Linked DNA regions of Coturnix japonica. The protein of the gene in region 4 interacts with the protein of the main gene of each other region in a biochemical or structural test. Links are inferred from orthologs where the notes say so. Each region holds a gene or a part of one and is shown on either strand. Other genes may lie near its edges.

Region 1 (4,961 bases), on a different chromosome or scaffold from region 4:
TCCCAATGGTGAACCTGGCACTTATTCTACTTCTTGAATATACTGACAACAAGAACAACATTCTACTTAAAAAAAAAAAAAAAAAAAGCCTTTATTCTTCTGATGATTAATTTTTTTCTGAGTTTTTATTATGAACAATTGTACTTCACCTATTCTGTTCACCTTGTACCAAATCCTGGGGCATCAATGGAACTCCTGTAGTTAGAAACTATTATGGAGAGGTCTGACTTTAAAATAATTAAAAAAAAAAAAAAAAGCTTATGAAAAACTATTAAACTAGTTCCTTTCAAGCTGTCCCTAAGGGAAAATATCTTCAAAAGATGAGTCCTTCAGAGCATTCATTGAAAGTTGTTTGTGTTGGTGCTTGCAGAAAGCCTTATCTGCCCTCCAGGAAAATCTTGTGTTCCCAAAAATCTTGTGTTCCCAAATACGTACTTGAAGTGGCAGGCTGACATTCTAAATCACACAAAAGCTTCTTTTGTGAGACAAGTAACTTATGTCTAGTTGTCCTGGTAATGTTTTAGGCATTACTTCTCATAGGGCACTACTAAAAACTATGTTTTAAAGCTTATTTGTCAGTAGAATGTGATTGCAGCTTGTCACATATGGGAGTATATAACAGCTGTTGTAATGACCTTACGTAGGATGGAAGAGACAATGTATAAACTGTTAAAAGACCTAGAGGCTGAACTTTTATGTACTAACCTGATAGTCTTCAGCGTAAACTCTGGTGAACACAGGTACATAAAAATTGTCACATCTTTCCTTTTCAGGCCAGGAGCGTTTTGGAAATATGACAAGAGTGTACTACAAAGAAGCAGTTGGTGCTTTTGTGGTCTTTGATGTCACAAGAGGTTCCACGTTTGAGGCTGTTTCAAAGTGGAAACATGATTTGGACAGTAAAGTACTTCTTCCCAATGGCAGCCCCATCCCTGCTGTTCTTCTTGCAAACAAGTGTGACCAAAAGAAAGATGGCAGCCAGAATCTTTCTCAAATGGACCAGTTCTGCAGAGAAGGTGGCTTTATTGGATGGTTTGAAACATCTGCCAAGGTAAGAATTAAGTAGGTGTTTAAGTGTGCTTTCTATTCACAACAGCAGATATAGTCATATGGGGAAAGAAATTTATCAGATGCAGGAAGTGACAGTTTGGATTCCAGTGTTCAGTGAGAAATAGAAGTGGTGTGCAGGATAGTTCATTGCTAAGGAAGGCTTACAGCATATTTAGTTGGAACTGCATCTCACATTCAGACAACACTGAAGTGGAAACATTAACTGAATTCAATGTGTTTTTTTTTTTTGATCTTGTGTGCATCAAGATCAGTGCTGTTCTTTAGATGTCAGTGCTAATAAATACTGATTGAACTGATAAAAGGAAAAACTACTGCATCTTTAAGTGAAAGAATTCCCATTGCAGCTTTTTCTTATCTGGTGCATACAAGAAGTGATGAGACTCCAGATAAAATTATCTGCTTGCTTGCTACTATATACTTAGATGATGCTACTAAACCACTTTCTCCTATATCAAGTAGTGATGAGACTGAACTAGGGAAAATCTAATTGCCCAGTTGTGGAGAAACTGATTTTAAGGGCAGCTGCTTTATTCCAATTAAAGTTTATGTTTGAGTAGATTCAAATGTTGCACAGTTTTAATCAAACTCAAACAGTGTGCATATATGCTTACAGTAGCTTAGTTGGCAGTGAAATCAACAGTTTCTTAACCTAAATGCCTTCATGTTGAAAAATCATCAATCTCAAGCATCAATATGTCTGACAGGGCCAGTTACTGGTCTGGCCAATAATTCCTTTATATTAAGCTAAGCTTCAAGATCCTTCTCTTCCTTTGAGTTCACTACTTCCTTCAGTTGCTGCTGACAAACTGGCATAAAGCATACTTATGCAAGAGCTATTTCTAGCACCTGATGCTTTTTTTTTTTTTTTCCACAAAGATCTGTAAGAGGAATGGCAAGAAATAAATCTCTTCCTGGTCACCATAAAATAAGGAGTAGGGATGCACAGTGACTAAGGTACTAGACTGAAATACAGTTCTAGGTATTCTGCATACACACTTTCACTGTCCCTGGCGGTGTTCAGGAGGCATCTGGATGAGGAGCTATGAGGTATGGTTTAGTGGCTTGTGGTAGTAATGTTAATAGGAGGACAGTTGGACTAGATGATCTTGTAGATCCTTTCCTACCTTGTGAATCTATATTTCTATGATTCTTTGGAATGTAAGTTAAGGTACTTACTTAAGAAAATGGCTGAATGAAGCACCTTGACTTTTCTGGTTTTTTGAGGCTGATACAAAAGACCTCTGTTGATAAATGAGTTTATTGATATTGCAGCAAAAAGAGGAATAGGCTCCAAAAGGCCATGCACTACTAAAACCAGTGTTAATTGCCTCTTATCTTTCTTAACACATAAGTGCAGCTTGGCACTTAAGAGTGGTTCAAACATAGTTTTATGTCCAGACTACACAGTACTTTGGAGTCTAGCTATCCTTTGTGTATGGTGGGTGAATAGCTTCACTAAACTTTTCTGATGATTTATTTTTTTTCCTTTTACAAACAGCAAATTTTTGAGCAATGATGTGTTGTATCTAAGCTGCCTGTGTTCTGCCAGTGGCTGCAGAGTAGTGTGTATTTGGCCAGCTTCTAACAAGGAAGTGTGACTTTTTAAAAGCAAAAATCCAACCAACAACTTGTTAACTTATTTGCATTCCTATTCTTAGGACAACATCAACATAGATGAAGCTGCTCGATTCTTGGTGGAAAACATCCTTGCCAACTACAAAACCTTTCCTAATGAAGAGAATGATGTGGGGAAACCAAAACTGGACCTAGACCCATTGAAAGCAGAGAGTAAATCACAGTGCTGCTAATGCTACCACTGTTCGACAAATGTGATGGAATGAGCAGCAAGACTGTTCCTTAAATCAAACTGCTGCTATGGTGCTGCATTGTGACAATCCATATGGGGTGTCTGGTATTATCTGAACAGGTGATTCTTGTGGGTGTTTACATACTCAGTTTCATGCTAAACAGGAGTATCTTGTGAGTTCTCACTCCTCTTGCTTGAGTGGCTTCATCTAAATCTGGTTAGTTGCTTACTTGAGAACATAAGGTAGTGTTTACACTCCTAAAAAAGAACAAAGACAACATTCAGTGTCTACTTTGCCTTCTAGGATATGCTACATTCCAAATAGGACTCACTCATGTCTTTAGCTGAACAGACACTTGCACCTCTACTGAATATTCTTTTCGTCACCAATAATGCCCTACTTTAGCTTGACTTCTCACCTATATACACTTGTACCTATCTGTCTCCTTGCTAGCTCACTTGGATCAAGATGTTATGTTAATCTTGAAGGGGCCAATATCATCATTGGTGTGTTCACGAGGATCAGGTGGAGTAGACTGCTTTCACCTCTGTGTAAGAACAAGATAGGTAAAGGTAAACGATTGTATTTAATGGAAAGACACTGTTACATGGGTACTAACAAAAATACATCTTCTGCTATTTAAAGAATATTACTTTCAGCTAATACTTTACCTGTGAAACACATTAATCAATACAGTTGCATTTCTGCCATTCTTATAATAATTTCACTTGTATGCACATCTAGAAATATCCAGAAGTCTTTTCATGCACTAACACCAAAAACTTTAGCAAGGCTGGGTAAAATAAATATCTTGCTGTCCTGTGACAATGAACTTCCTACTTTTTCCTTTTTTTTTTTTTTTTTTCTCCTGGAGATGGTTCTGAATACTTTGAATAAGAATAGATGCTTTGGAAGAAATAATTCAACTGGATCTTTGTAGCTTGTCAAAAATCCCCCGCCTCCTTTTTTAATTTTAGAACAGTGCTGCACTCTTCTGACTACTCAGTTTGTGAACTGGCTTGCTTACCAGCTTGTAACTGTTCATGGAGATGCTTGCTTCCTTGTTATAACCCAGGTTTTTCTGGCAGCAAATGAAGATTAAAAGGAATAGAGAACTTCAGTTCTTGGCTATTTTCTTGTAATTTTGGCTCTACTAGGCTGAAATGCTTCAGAGCTCCTTGTAATTTTAAAGGGTTTCTTCTGTCTTGGTACCTCACTGCTATTGGCTTCAGAGTTCTTAACTTGCTTGTCTGGTGGTACTGATGTTTATGTAAATATCAGCATGAAGTATGTGCCAGATTGAATATACTTTAATCTGTATTGAAATTATCTAGGCTGATGTCTTTTCTAAGGAGTAACATATTTTTTAAGAAACGAATAAATATATTTGGGCATCTTATCTTGTTGGTGTGTGCTTTTTGAATGAATCTTTGCATTATGTGTGCCACCCTAAATAAAGTTGGTTTCAAGTATCAATGAAAATATTTATTTCAATAGTTAAAATTTAAAGGCTTCTTTTATATTACCACGGTATGGAATGCTATAAACTAAAACCAGGTTTAGCTAGTTGGTGTTTGAGTTAATTTAGGCTAGATGACATTTTAAGAATCCTTCTGGTCTCCTTCTCAATAGAAGGAATAGAGGAATAGTGAATAGAGGATCATACCAGGCTGTTCAGGTCTTCATGTAGTATTCTGGTCTTAAAGATTCAGTGGCAGACCATATGACCTCCAGGAAAGTTGTTTCAATGCTTGACTGTCTGCATGAGCATTTATCTAGTTTGATTATATCCATGATATCTCATCTTCCCACTGTGTAGCACTACAAGGAATGAATCTGTTTTGCTTGTGCAGATTAGCTGGACATCTAAAGCTTGATTACAGGCTATTTGAAGTTGAAAGTAGCAAAGCTTAAGAAAGTTGCACCTTATCTGTGTTCCTTGTTTGCTGACTTGTTTGGGTTGTTAACTGTCACATTTAACCTGGAACTACCGTAATTTTCCTGTTCTCTCCTGAACAAGTTAACTTGGACTGTAAATCCACTTAAACCCACTTAATCTCCAACATGCAGTCTTCTAAACTT
Region 2 (4,961 bases), on a different chromosome or scaffold from region 4:
GCAAGGAGAAGGCTGAGGTACTTTTTGTCCTGGTCTTCTCTTATAACTGCTTGTCACACAGCCCTCAAATCTTTGGTTTGGAATGAGAGGGACTGGGGAAGCAAGATCCCTCCCACTGTTAGCAAAGATCGTGTTTGTGACCACCTGAGGAACTTGAACATCCACAACTCATTGGGTCCCAATGAGATGCATCCCAGAGTCCTGAGTGAATTAGCTGATGTAGTCACCAAGCCACTTTCAATGATATTTGAAAAACCACGGCAATGAGGTGAAGTCACTGGTGGGTAGAAAAAGGCAGCATCACACCCATTTTTAAGAAGGGTAAAAAGGATGACCCCAGGAACTACCAACCTGTCAGTCTCACCTCTGTGCCAGGAAAGATCATGGAGCAGATCCTTCTGGAAGCTATGCTAAGGCATATGGAAGACAGGGAGGTGATATAGGAGAACCAGCATGGCTTCACCAAGTGTAATTCTGCTTGACCAAACTAATGGCCTTTCACGATGGTGCTATTGCATCAATAGGCAAGGGAAGTGCCACCAATGTCACCTGTTCAGACTTCAGTAAGGCCTCTGACACAGTACCCCACAACATCCCTCTCTGCAAATTGGAAAGATATGGATTTGATGTGTGGATTGTCCAATGGACAAAGAAGTGGATGCAGGATCAAGTCCAGAGAGTGGTGGTCAACGGCTCAATGCCTGGATTGAGATCAGAGCTGAGTAGTGTCCCACAAGAGTCAGTGCTTCGACTGTCACTCTTTAATCTTGATCAGTGACAGTGACAGTGGGGTTGAGTGCACCCTCAGCAAAGTTTGCTGATGACACCAGCCTGTGGGGTGCAGTCAATGAACTGGCTGCCCAGAAATGTGGTTGATACCCCATCCCTGGAGACACTCGAGGTCAAGGCTGGATGAGGTCTGAGCTTTTGATCTAGCTGTAAGTTTCCCTGTTCACTGCAGGGGAGCTGGCCAAGATGACCTTTAAAGGTCCCTTCCAACTCCACAGATCCTACAATTCTATGTTTGGAGTTAAAGTTGATATGTCTGGGATTCAATTATTTCAGAGCACTATGCAACTGAGTGAGTGTTTTTTAAGTATTCGGGTTACAGTTCACAGTAAGGCTGTGCTAGTGAGATGCTTCTCATGCCTAAAACCAGCAAAGAACACCTCTGTGTTTATATTCACTTACTAACTGGATCAGCAGCTCACCCGTGCATACAGAGAAACTAGGAAGGAGCTATAAAAACAAATGGCTGAAAAACAATTGTTTTGTACTGTACCTGAGTTTTGAATAAGCACATTTTTTTCTTCCACGCATGCAAACAAAAAACCTTTCAAACTGAAATCTTGCTAAAATATTAAAAATTCTGACTTCTTTCAGGTGGTACCACACAACTACTTTGGCTTCCACAAAATGTTTTCTTGTTTGCATCCATGATCTTTATTTCAATAACAACAAAATCCTAAATTAAACAAAATTTTTGCAGTAGCATTCTAAATGGCTCTTAGCAAATCACAGTTCTCCAGCATCATGTTCACTGTTCTATTAAGTGATCCTTTTTCAGTGACATATCCTTAAGCTCCTACATCTTTTATGCATACAGTATCTGGAGATACCTTTCAATTCCAACACCTCATCTGCACAACACCTACTGTATGAAGAGAAGAGGCCTAACAGTTTAAAGACTTGGAGGAAAAACATTTCTTTGAAGAATGTTTTGGGAGGCTTTAGGATATGTTGATGTTAGGATGTGTTTTTAGTGGGTGTATGCTCTTCCTACAGGTCCTTTCCTCTTCCTCAAATTAATGATTACCAACCTTTACCTCTCCCAAATAATATTTTGCCATCAAAGAAACTGATGAGGCTACTCATTTCAGTCTCAATTACAACATCTAGATTTCACAGTCTCCAGTTTTCACAAAAATAAAATACCTTTAAGACTTGAAACTAGTGCAGACATTTAAATTGTTGGTGGTTAGGCTGATCAAACAGATCTAGTCATCTTCACAGTTCAAGATTGCCCAAGATACCCCTGAATTCTTTCTGGGTCTACCTTTCTTTTTCCCTCAGCAGATTTTGTTCAGCTTTTGGCCCATATGTATTCATGTCATAGAAGCCCTGATCTGCAATGCTGGAGCTTTACCTTTTAGTGCTGAGCACAAGGAAATACAAGCAGTCTATTAGCTTTCATCTTCAGACTTAAGACCAAAATGTTCTGCTAGTCAAGGTACTATCCATACAACTTGAACAGAGGAGTGCACACAAATGCTGAGCATCCAATTACGCAATTCCTACAAAATCATTTATCTACACATCTTGTTATTTAGTTTCACAATTAAACTAAGCAGAGAAACCTCATCTTGAACTGTTATGGTTTTTTTTCAGGACTTCAAAGGCTAAATGCAAGAATGGCAACACAGGGCAATGAATTAACTGTCAGTACGTTGCAACAGTGTTCACATTTACTATCCTGCCTGCTACAAGCTAAATCATCTTGCATCATAGCCAAAAAACATATACAAAAAAGTCAGGTTATGCCAAACCTCAATAAAATTATCTTGTTCTTCCTGACTTAAACATTCTTCTGCTGATACACTGCATAACTCTTTCCTGCTGTGCAGCAGTGACTTCATAGAGTGCAGTACGCCTTCACCAAAGCTCTGAAAAACAATGGGAAAAGACAAAAAGTTATTTTCAGTTTTGAATAAAGAGCCTATTCTAAGCCCCCTCCTTGATTTCCTTATTCTAAGTACAGTTTCAAACAAATCTGCATATCAATCACCAAGTTTAAAGACTAAATTCTGTGTTCTGAAGTAAACACATAAGCTATTTCCTTCAAGAAATAATTTTTTTTTCCAAAGCAAGCTGACCATGCTGTACTTAAGAAAAAAAAGACCGTAGAATCACAGAATGGCCTGGATTGAAAAGAACCACAATGATCATTTGGTTTGAAAAGAACCACAATGATCATTTGGTTTCAACCCTCCTGCTATGTTCAGGGTCACCAACCACCAGACCAGGTTGCCCAGAGCCACATCCAGCCTGGCCTTGAATGCCTCTTCCAGGGATGGGGCATCCACAGCCTCCTTGGGCAACCTGTTCCAGTGTGTCACCACCTCTGAGTGAAAAACTTCCTCCTAAAAGATCCTAAGATCTAAGAAAGTTCAGATTTGGGAAAAAAAGAAAGATGAATCCAAGAAGAAATTTAAAGGCCCACCCACTCTATGCATCAGAGCCTGCATATGGAACTTTTCCATCAGGTTTTCCTTAAAAAGCAAGAAAAGCTAATTTAGCCATGAAATGTTATTGAGGTGGCTTCAACAGTCATAGGGAAAGAAAACAAATCAAGGTGAAAAAATAAATAAAAAAATAATCAAACAAACAACCCTCTACATATCTTCTTTATCCATTCTATAAAAAAAATAATAAAATAAAAATTAAAAAATTTAATTCCTTGTAATTATTTCTTGTAACATCTTCTCCTTTTGGTTTTTAAAATTGCTGTCCTCTACCGAGTGAAAAGGTTAAGAAGTATAAATGAAATTATGATTTGGTTACGCATTGTTAACCCAGTTATTTATTCTCCATCTGACTACCCTGTAAAAAGTTAGGTGAGAAATGTATCAAACTTAAGCTATTTCAAATCTGCACAGCTTCTTAAACAACAGCGGAAGCACCAGAAAACCAAATCTAGTGAGGGAAAGCTTTGCATTTCTCACAGTCCCACAGCAAAAGTAATCCCTTTATGGTAAAAGCTGATCTTGCTTATCATAATTAAGGCTCTGGAAAGAGCTGTTTTTCTTAAAAACAATGGCAGTAAGTACTAACATATTGGAAGCCTAACTGGTACTATCAGCGTTATCATGCTTGTGCTCGTAGCAATATAAAATTAGGAAAGCATTTTTAAAATAATAAGACAAAAAACAAAACTTAAGACCTCTGGAATTACCAAAACAAATCTCAGAATGTTTGCAAGCAAGGTTGGGATTACTAGATTTACAGCAAAGGCCAAGTAACACTGAAGCAGACAAAACAGCCATGTTTACAGACAAGAATGAACCAGTAACCGAAATAATCTGATGTACATTTAGGGCAGCCTGGAGGTCATTCAAATAATCCCTACCTTTGTCTATAACTTTCTCCCCACGTATTAAAATGCAGTTACTGTGTTACATATGTATCTTTATACTTCCCAAGGTATGCAAACAATGTTTCTGATCCTCCAGATCATCCAGACTTACCAGGTGGCTGCAATGCTTGATTAAAAGGAGAGCAGCATATACAGGAAGCTCAAGGTGAGAGCAGTTTAAAATGCAAACATATGAAGTGCAAGGTTACAGCCTTAAAAACTAATAATGAAATAGAACTGTGAAGTCGCATCCGGGAAACAAGAGATGTGACTTTGCTTCTTCATCATGATAGTGAAGCAAACAATCAGCACGATACAGCACTGAAAATAGCAAACGTGGCCCCATCCTTTAGCAGGATAACTGACATAACTGGAGTCGCTGAGTGCATCCTCTGTAATTGCACATACCATATCATCCACATGTGAAAAGAAGATTAACTTGCAACAAGCACAGAAAGGAGGACTATGAAGGATAATCACTGAACGCAGAGGCTTTCATACAAAAGCAGACTAAACCTTTGGCTTACCATTTTGTTTTCATTTCCCCACATAATGTGAGAGAAAACTTCCTATCCAATAGGCAATGAAAGCAATTCAACCACACTGAATTAAACTGAAAACCAAAAGGCAGCCAGTTTTCAAGATCAGCACACAGAATCACAGAATGACCCGAGTTGGAAGGGACCTCAAGGATCATGTAGTTCCAACCCCCCTGCCTGGCAGGGCCACCAAACATACACATTTACTAGATCAGGTTGCCCAGGGCCCCGTCCAACCTGGTCTTGAACACCTCCAAGGACGGGGCATCCACAACCTCCCTGGGCAGCCT
Region 3 (4,961 bases), on a different chromosome or scaffold from region 4:
CGTGGCAAGGATGGAGGCAGTGCTCCTCAGCTCAGCTGCCTCTGAATACTTGCTGAAGTAACTGACTTCATGCCTGTTCTCCTCCACAAGGAATGGCTGGCTGGCAGAGTACACGGGTGACTGCTGCAAACTCTTCCCTTCCCTGAGTCCTGAGTCGTCTTCTTTTGAAGTCTTTGGTATGGTGTCCCTTTTTTCTTGAACAGGGGAAGACACCTGGGGTGGCTTAAACACTGGGTTCTGCTGCTGCTTGGAGGCTGGAGATAGCCTGGTGGTGTCTGGTTGCTCTTTGGCAGAGATTTCCTGTTCTGATGGGATTTTCTCTTCCTTGCCATTTGTTTTATCTGCCTGTTCGGCTATGGCTTGTTGGATGGCATTCTGAACAAGCAGACCAGCATGGTACTCCAGTTGGTTGTCAATCAGCATAGAGTCTGCCAAGGCAGAGGACAGTGAGTCACAGCCTGGGTCGCTGAATGATTTGGACATGCCTTCGCTCCTGCACTCTGCTGGAGTATCCGTCTGCGGGGTCTGTGGCAGGGAGAAATCTGCCAATGAGCTCTCTTGCAGGGCACTCATAGTTTCATTAGAGGCGCCACTGTCACTGATGTTATCCATGCTGAAGTCATTGGAAAGGGTCTCCAAGACAGTGGTATCCTGAGACCTTACAGACAAGTCATCCAAACCAGAGTCAAGCTCCTCAGGAGGGGAGGAGGCGCTGGCTGACTTTGGGAGCTGGTCTAGCACACCCTGTACATCATCCTTCACCACTGTGAAGACAGCTCTTGCACTCATGAATTCTCCATCCTCTGACCACAGCTTTGAGGCCTGTCCAGCTCTGGAGCTATCACTACATGGTAACTCTCTTACTGGGTCAGCACTGTTGTTCTGAGCATTTGTATCATCCTCTGAAGAACAGGAGACTTTCTGTGCTTTCACAACAGTGATGTCATTACCCTCATGTTGACCTGTTTGTCCATACATTGAAACAGGTCTTGTAATGGTGGAGAGAGGCCTGTCTGCATTTGAAGGATTGAGGCTTTTATAGAATGGTTTAACAGAGAACATTTTGGGTGTTCCTGACCGCCTTGGTGGGACCTGACCTTGAGATGGACCTGAATGCTCCATCAGTTGAAACTGCTTCCTGGCAGCTGAGAAATCAATTTGCTCTGTGACAATATCTTCTTTCTTGATATTCACTGTCTCTGGTGGTACAAAGGAGCAGCTGACCTGTTTGGGAGATGTTGGTGTTGCATTTTGCTGCTGCAGTCTCTCCTTGCGCTCCTTGTACTTCTTGTGAGATTCCAGATGCTCTTCATCCAGTTGTTCCTCCAGGGTCTTCTCCTGGGGAGGGTTCCACCATTTGGCGGCAATGTTAGGGTTTTTCTTGACAGCCTGGCTTTTAATGAGCTCCCTTCTTTCCTTTTCAAGTTCTATCATTTCCTCTGATGGTCTCACTTTGCGGACCCTGTACTTTTCTTTCTCATCGTCTTCTTCAAAGAGCTTAGAGGGCTTTTTGTCCTCATGGAAAGCTCGCAGTTCAAACTTAGCCTCTTTCTTAAGTGTTGTAAGAGTTGTTTCTCCATCCTTAGAAGATCTTCTGGAACTGTTTGAAGAAGTGGGACTTCCTGGCACCTTCAGACTTTCCCCAGTGTCTTCCTTCAGTCCTCTCAAGGAATGGCCATTGGAGTTCAGGCTTTCACCTGCTGTACTAGCTTCATGCGGTTTAACAACCAAGGGCACCTGCCTGTCATTTACATTTTCTTCCCTTGCACTGGGTACTGAATCATTAGAGACGTTAACCGACACCCCTGAGCCATCCATGATGGTGACTGCACTTAACTGAGGAGAGGATGTCCCATTAAAGGTATTATCAGCAGATGAATCACAGCAGTTTGCCTCCAGCACTTCATCGAGATATCTGATCTCCTTAGCAACTTCACTGTCCAGGGATTCATGCCTGTCCTTAAGTCCATTGTGGCTGGCAGCAGAAGAAAAGAAGTGAGTTGGATTGTCTATGGGATGTGGTGAAGCCACTGTGGTGATGCTTTTATGTTCAGAAACAGGAACTTCGATTTCCATTTTTTCTTCCTTTGCAGAAAGCGCAGTAGCCGGCTCCAAGAAATTGGCACAGTTTTGGTCTCTATTTTTTTTTAACCTGATGTCATCCTCAGGAATTCTGGAAGATTTCTAAAATAAAACAGAACAAAACTTTGATGAAGTCCTGAAGAGAAGCATTGTATTTTCTGCACACTAAACACCATCTGGAAAGCAAATCATAGAACTTTCTAAACTCGAGATTAAAAGTGTTCTTCACAAAATTAGAAGGTGAGGTAAATAATTATTACTTACAAAAAACAGAAGGTTAACTCAGTCTGAAGTGGACAGGGCACTAAAACAACAACAAACTTTCATTGAAATATCCCCCAACTGGTTATCAACCTCACTTTGTCATTATTCCAGGCCTGTGTCCTGGTCTGCCACTAAAAACGAGGTTTGGATTTTCAAGTTACAAATGACTTAACAGTTTAGGTTCCTGAAAGGCTTGCACGAGCAGCACGCCGCACCTATCAATATGGTATTTTACAAATGTCTTCCACACCTAACCTAAAGAAAACCTCAGAATCCTTCCACAGCTGATAAGCTTTACTGCCTCTATCTTGCAGAAACAGACGCTAACATGCAGAAAGATCAGGCAACTCATCCCACATTAGGGAAAGGGTGAGACATTACCAGGGGATGCTCATTTCTCAGTGGGTCAATCTCAGCCATCAAACACAGGGTAGAATAACACAGTGCTGGAAAAAACATGGGGTCTTTCTCTGGCCCACACAGAAACCCACGTGCAACTGGACTTGGGAGGACAGAAGCATTCATGACTCCCACAGCAGCATTCATGAGATCATCACAGGAGGCACAACAGGGACCAGAATCATGGTCTTCTCCCTCTCACTCTTTCATCCAAAACACAGACACACTGGACTCATATTTCCTCATGATGAAGACATTGCCAGTACCATTCTTCCACAATAACTTGGTAATTTTCTCAGAACACAACACAATCTCAAAATAACCAAACACGGCATGCCTATTCGTGCCATCAAACTCTTTAACACAGAAACTTGCATTCTGAGGTCTCCGGCTCCTTTTTAACACAAACTCTTATGCAGCACTACTGGTGAAGCATGGATTTGGGAAGCAAACAGCACTAACCAAATCCTCCAAATACAGTATCTCCCCAGAAAGGTCACTCTTGTATGCGGGCCGCAGCCTTCCTTGCCAGCATTCATCATGCACTTGGTTAGTACACAATGCAGCAGAAAATGACCAGCCAAGAGCACAAGGATCTTACCAGCCACCTGAACAATCACATTGCCTCTGGGTTTACATGGGCAGAAAAATGCATTTGACACACATTGAAGAATTTGATCCAGGCAGAAGAGCTCTCCTTCTAAAAGCATTTTAAAAGAGTTTCCTGTCTAATCATGCCATTGTGCAGAGCTGAAGGTAATGCTAGGTAATGCTACCTTCATCCATTAGAGATTCTCAATCATTCTTAGATGCCACAAAACACCTTAAGAACTGGGAAACAAACAATTCTCTTTTGTCTACACATCTTTCTTATGTAGTTGGTTTTACTTTCATTGTACCTTCTGTTGAACCTACAGGCATACTCTACATATTCTCAAGCTTTATTTTCTATCAGTGCTCTTCTTTAAGCCTACTACATTTTTCACAATTTACATGTCTAACTGTGGTCAGCTTTGTTTTCAGCCTGAGTAAAGATATATTCAAGCAAGCTGGTATTCTACAAACAAGTTCAGAATAATCAGTAAGAACAAAACTTTGTTTAAACCTGGAAAAGCAAAAATTACTCTGATTTGTCTGCAGAGCTCCAAGTTTCATATACAACAGGTACTCACAACAGGCCTAGAACTGCAGTTTCTTTCTGAGTTTTGGGTTAAAGTCTCCTGTCAGATTAGCTGACACCAAAAAGAGGATATTGCTACCTGAAGCAGATTGAGAGGAGAGGCCTTAAGCCTCTGTGTGGGGCTGCTGGCCCTTCACAGCTGAGATGAGCATGCTGTCAAGCTTCTGCTAACATCTGGAACTAGCAACAGACCTGCTGTTGCCCCCAAGACTTCATAGCTAACACATGCCTACTGCCCTTGCTGAGCCAACATATATAGAACCCTTCAGATCAGGTCATGTTTCGATATTCAAGTTGCCTTGAGGGAACCAAACCAAAGATGAACTACTTCATCAGTTGATTTCTTAATGAGTAATAGCTCATCCCCTCATCATAGCTGCAATCTTCAGTTCACAATTAAGGCATATAGACGCAACTGCCTAATCAGGACACGCATTTATGGCAGCATGTAATTCTGAGAGTGCGTGTGTCTGTGCAATTAGAGTGGCACATGTAATTATCTAGTAAGCAAGACAATTATGCAGTAAATCTTATGAGGAAACATTGCTCCTCATGGGAAGAGGCCTTTCTTTGCCAAGGACTAATAACTGTGAGTAGGGAAGGGTTCTCTGCAGGGGAGTAAACCAGGGAATGGAGGAGAGAAAAAATATTTATTACAACTCCTTGTTTTCCCCTCAGCACATTCTTATATAATCTTGGGACACTTTCAGGAAAACAAGGAGGGAATGCTCCAGACACCCCTGTAAGAAGCAGAAGTCAACCCATGAATGAATTATATGAAGAAGAAGCTAGTAAGGTCATATGAATGGACGCAGATCAAACTGTCAGGAAAACCAGCTGGGAATGTTCTGGAAGAATGGCACACATTAGGATGAAGACGTGGTGATGGGAAAAGACTGGGAAACTACAGCCTCATCTGGGCTGCTTGGCAGGAAGGGCAGAGCTTGCCAGGGGCTGCTGCTGCACACACCAGCACCTTAACACACTGCCCACTGAGGGCAGCTGTCTGAAAACTATTAATAAAAGTCTGTAAATG
Region 4 (4,961 bases):
GGTCATCCACTTCAAGCTGTTCTCTTAGCTTCCAGCATCTGACCATTTGGTGCCAAAAGGCTGCCACGTTTTGAATAGTTTCTCAGTCAGGGGTAGTTCACAAAACAATAATAGAACAGAAACAGGTAACTAGATACACACAGGGAACATTCGCTTACCTAAACATTTGACCTCTCCAACAGCATAGGCAGAGGCTGCCCTGGGTTTGTTGGTAACAAGTGCAAGCTCTCCAAAATACTGTCCTCTGTGACACCGGGCAATCTCTACTTCTTGGTTAGCTTCCTTACTCATCATAGTCTGCAAAACAGTACATTTTAATTACTCGCAAATCAGTTCTGTACAAGGTTCAAGTTAATCCCAGATAGACTGCATACGTGCAACTGACCGTTGGTTTACAGCTTGCAAACTAGCAGTTCCTAAATCATTCTCTATAAAGGCATAATGCCTTGACAGCATGTTCAACTGTAAGTTTGGTTAAGTGCATGCTGGCCCACAAATTTTGAGATTGGCAGATATTCATTGTTACAAACTTGGGAACTGCTATTACACAAGACTAACACAGCCACAAAGTTTTGTCATACACAAGGCTTCACTCCCCAAAGAACTGCTTCGACTGTATAGGAATCTATTCAAATGTTAATGGCTACTGACATAACACACCCCAGCTTTTTGTTAGTTGTAGTTTGCTACAACCCCACAAGAAAGTTCCATTTTGACCCCTAAGGCCAGGGAGAGTACAGGTCAGTTTGCAGAGGAGTAGATAGAAGTAAACAGACCTTCCAGCTTTGGCAACTGACTCCTGACCACTTCAGAACAGGTATGGCCATTTAAAACATACATCACATTTGTGACAACAACCAAGTAATTAAAATAACGTCTTAAAGTCAGCCCAGTCAGGCTTTTGCACATTGCAATTAGCCATTCAATGATTTAGCCGATCAAATCAGTGATTAATTTAAAATCTAATCACCCAATTCAAACTCACCTTGCTTTTAATCATGATTTTTACTTCACCAGATTCTACAATATAAAAGCAATCTGCTTTATCGCCCTGTGAAGAAAAGGCAAAAGATACGTTTTTTTCTTAGTTGACTATAAAAATATGTATGAATGGTATTATTCATTGTGAACCGGGCACTGTGCAAGTCATCAGTGTGAGAAATTACACAACAGCTCTAACACTACTTAAGAAAAATAAATCACATCAGGAAACTGGAAGAAAACAGAAATAGGAGCCATTTAGAATGAAGTTCAAGAAAGGTAATGGAATGTGTTGCTGTAGTAAAAACTTATTTTAGTTCCATTCATCTGTTTCTAAGAAAAAGTCCCACAGAGTTACAGGAGAAATGAGGCTCTTATCTGTGGTTCTTCAGAACAGTGGTAAGTATTCCAGTATGAAGTTTTTCATTTCCTGTTGCCAGCTATCGCAATTTGCTGCACTCAGCACACTTAACAATGTACTGAATACTCAGGACTTTTAAACACTGAAAACAAACTGATTAGGAGACACGGGGACTTCACGTAACACCAGCAGTATGACTTAAAGCACCAGCGGTATGATTTAAAGCCAGTGCTTTCAATCACAATGCCCCAATTGACAGATCAAATTCCAGAAAGATAATTAAAATGTAACATTATCCGTGAGAGAAAAAGGATTCATGCTATTGATGCAATTGCTGTAGTACAAGAGCTATCACCATCATTTCCAAGCATAAAATTTCATCATCTCTAGCAGCGTAAAACAATCATCCAGATCAATCCAGAATATTAATCCTATTTGTAATTTCCCTTACGTGTAATTACATCCTTATCCTTAATTCAGCTGTTGCAGATTTAAAGCAACCCTGTAACCGGATCACTGGCTGTACAGCTTCCCAGTTCTGAGACAGCTTTGATTTTGCTGACAGTCCAGTTTTCTCAGGCTCTTAAGCAACAAGATTTTCAGCTTACACAATTGAGCCTTTTTGGAGAGAAGTGATTTGGCTGTATTTTCTTATCAGCAAAGGATGTTCTCTTGCACTGCGGTAGCTGATATTCAAGCTAATTAAGATTAACTATTCAAAACAGTATCAAGTACCCAGACTCTGTTTATAAAACAGGAAGACCTGTGGTCAAAACGCCTACCATTTCAGGTAAGCCAAGGTCTTCCTTGCATTAACTCCTGTTTAAAATAGAGCACTTTCTCAAAATCAATATACAAAGCTAAGACTGATGCAGAATTCTTGTGTTTCACCTGTAAAAATACTCCAAAAAAGTGAGTTCTGTCACAGGAAAAAAAAGGTTCAGCTTTAATTTGTCCAGCTTTATGTTTCAATCTGGTCTCAATCCATTACAGCAAAGTGTATCAACAACCAAAGCCTGCTGACTGAACTCTGACTATTCCTAACACTAAAATACTCTTTTTAAAAGGCATCTGGAAAATCACCTTTTTTAATTAAAGTGAGAATTCTTCATACAGTTAACTGACTTGAGATCAACTAGTAAAGCAGACCTATAGAGCTTGCTTAGCTCTATGCAAGACATACTCCTGTTGAATTGCTCGACTTTCCTGTTTAGTCAGGCCTATGGATGTGGCTTGGGACTCCCCTTTTAATCTGGTTACAGGTGCCTATAAAAACTGCACCTCAGGGCTTTCATTGAAAATTGTAATGACAGACATTTAATTTCAGCTTCTTCAGGGTCAGTCCTTTTGAAGCCTTGCAAAGACCGTTTATAGAAAACAAATGGTCAAAATAAGGAATTACCCAGAAGCTAAAGCAGTGGAATAAATACGTAGCAAAATACAACTGGCCCTTCCCCAGATATTCAAAAACTGGTTAAACAAATTGAAAGCATTAAAAGAATAATGCTAACTTGATCCAATTAACACGATTCTGTGAGTAGCTTCCACATAGGAACAAAAACAAAGAGGGGAGAATGACAGATGGGAATTTATACTCTAAGTACCTGAGAAATGATACGTTCCCCATCCCGATACACTTTCTCTCCTATAACATCCACAATTTTCATGCGCTCTGATGCCTGCAATGAAGAGGAAAATCAAGCACAATTACCTGCCATAGCAAACCTCACAACTCAGAAGTTAAGAAGTGTTCACTAGACAAAAACACGCTGAATCTGGCTACTGAAAAATGCAGCCCCCACATGACCTCATAATATTGCAGCACATCTTTCAAGACTACCAAAAAGATCAATGGCAAAAAAAGTTTTCTATTGTCCCACACCTAAAGTTTAAAATGACTGATTTGGCTGTTTTAGAACTAAGAAAAAAAAGCACTTCCTGTGAGATTCAGCTGAAATCTGAAGAAAGCGTTTAGAGAAATGCCAAGTCCTTCCCCAGAAACCTCAATGAAAAATATTAGTAATTCATTTTCAAAATACTTTCATTGCTGTGCACTTGAATGTCTTCGGTTGGTTGGTTGGAGTTTTTTGTGTGTTTATTTTGGTTGGTTGTTTTTTGTCTTAAAGCTCACTGCTGGATTAGGAAGAGGATGAGGGGGTATGAGAAAGACACTGGGTCTAAAAATTGTAAGCAAGCATTGCAACAGGATGCCCTGCAGCAAGGTCAAGAGGTACTAAACTGACGTGCAGTGAAATGTGCCTCACAAACAGGAAGGGAGAAAGGACAGTTAAATTTATCTCCAATGTTTCCTGCTGCCCATCTTGCACATCACAAAACAACTCTAATCATTCACAGCAGTGTAAAAATATATTAAGAAAGAAAATCCTAAACAGTTCAAATGAATATCTCCACACATGATTCATTTTTAATCTATTCATTTCACAAATGCACTTCCATCTAGCCCATGTTTAAGAAACTGTTAATTACGATCCACGCATGATTCAACTGCAGTGTGTCATGCAAAAAGCCAGCCAGTGCTAATGAGATTTTTCTCTTTTTTGAATCTTTAATCTTTTATGAGTCATTTTGGGCTTTAAAAAAAACAAAAAGGCACACACTGATGAAACTAGTTTAAGCCAGTCATTGAGGGAGATGTTGTGTAATTCACCCCTTTTACAGCTATCAGCATAGGTCCAAACTAATATATCCTGGAAGCCACTATTTACACTTATGATGCTTTGCAATTTTGTAATCCTTTCCCAAGAGGATTGAGAACTATTCTCAAGTGCTGAAGATTTAAGCTGAAAAAATGTAACGAGGAAACAAAGAAAAATATAAGTTCTGGCAGAGGGCAAAGATATATAACAATGTTCCATGCAGTCTGGCATGTCTCCAAAGCCTTTCTGAAAATACAGGCTAAATCAATGGCTTAGAAGTGGCAATTTACACATCGTTCCTAAAGTCATGCACCACACATAACAACAGTGCTTGCTCTGCCTGGTTATTTTCCTCCTGGGCAGCAGTGCTTCCTTTAGTTTATTCTTAGCTTAGAAGAGTTAAGATCTGCAGTGGGAAGCATCTTTGAAATTTCAAAATCATTCACAGATAATGAAAATCAAGTATTCCAGAGACCATATCATTACTTCAAAAACACACCCACAAACAGAACCAAAGCCCTGAGTCCCAGTTTTCACTTTAATCCCTATATTTTCTCTCTACCTGTTTTGTGTTTTAAAGCCTTCTCAAAAACTGAGATAAAAATCGCCTACTGCGAACAGTGGATATGAAAAACACGTTGGACAACTTCAACAATGCAAATAGGATATTTAGCAGGTCTGAAGAACTTGTAAGCAAAAAATGACACTGATTTCTGATACAGTATAAACCAACTGGGGAGGTAACAAGAATTTGATGCAGATGTTTCTGAGAGACTTTACCTCCAAGGACTTGAGAAGGGGTACAGACTCAATAAATAACTCATATGTCTTCCTCTTCTTTGCATTGTTTTTCAATATAATTCTTCTGAATGTCACTCGATCCTGCAAGAAACAGCACAAACTGATTATTCCTCCTAACTAAAATGCCTACTGATTAAACAATCTTTATCTAATATTAAAGA

Evidence for each region.
Region 1: the proteins of PRKAR2A (region 4) and RAB32 interact in a test that uses a peptide from one of them, tested with the Homo sapiens proteins (2 studies listed by BioGRID, with this or other methods). The link is inferred for Coturnix japonica from reciprocal best matches to the Homo sapiens genes PRKAR2A and RAB32.
Region 2: the proteins of PRKAR2A (region 4) and AKAP11 form a complex in vitro, tested with the Homo sapiens proteins (2 studies listed by BioGRID, with this or other methods). The link is inferred for Coturnix japonica from reciprocal best matches to the Homo sapiens genes PRKAR2A and AKAP11.
Region 3: the proteins of PRKAR2A (region 4) and PALM2AKAP2 form a complex in vitro, tested with the Homo sapiens proteins (2 studies listed by BioGRID, with this or other methods). The link is inferred for Coturnix japonica from reciprocal best matches to the Homo sapiens genes PRKAR2A and PALM2AKAP2.

The regions. Positions count from the first base shown.
Region 1 is NC_029518.1:42,175,978-42,180,938, forward strand, and holds the end of RAB32 (ras-related protein Rab-32), read left to right. Parts: intron 1-773; coding exon 774-1,051; intron 1,052-2,729; coding exon 2,730-2,879; 3' UTR 2,880-4,355; downstream 4,356-4,961. UniProt on the Homo sapiens protein: The small GTPases Rab are key regulators of intracellular membrane trafficking, from the formation of transport vesicles to their fusion with membranes.
Region 2 is NC_029516.1:148,921,586-148,926,546, reverse strand, and holds part of AKAP11 (A-kinase anchor protein 11), read right to left. Parts: intron 2,664-4,961; coding exon 2,547-2,663; intron 1-2,546. UniProt on the Homo sapiens protein: Binds to type II regulatory subunits of protein kinase A and anchors/targets them.
Region 3 is NC_029547.1:58,459,759-58,464,719, reverse strand, and holds part of PALM2AKAP2 (A-kinase anchor protein 2), read right to left. Parts: intron 2,185-4,961; coding exon 1-2,184. UniProt on the Homo sapiens protein: Binds to regulatory subunit (RII) of protein kinase A. May be involved in establishing polarity in signaling systems or in integrating PKA-RII isoforms with downstream effectors to capture, amplify and focus diffuse, trans-cellular signals carried by cAMP.
Region 4 is NC_029527.1:9,289,379-9,294,339, reverse strand, and holds part of PRKAR2A (cAMP-dependent protein kinase type II-alpha regulatory subunit), read right to left. Parts: intron 4,882-4,961; coding exon 4,780-4,881; intron 3,022-4,779; coding exon 2,947-3,021; intron 1,052-2,946; coding exon 986-1,051; intron 298-985; coding exon 159-297; intron 1-158. UniProt on the Homo sapiens protein: Regulatory subunit of the cAMP-dependent protein kinases involved in cAMP signaling in cells. Type II regulatory chains mediate membrane association by binding to anchoring proteins, including the MAP2 kinase.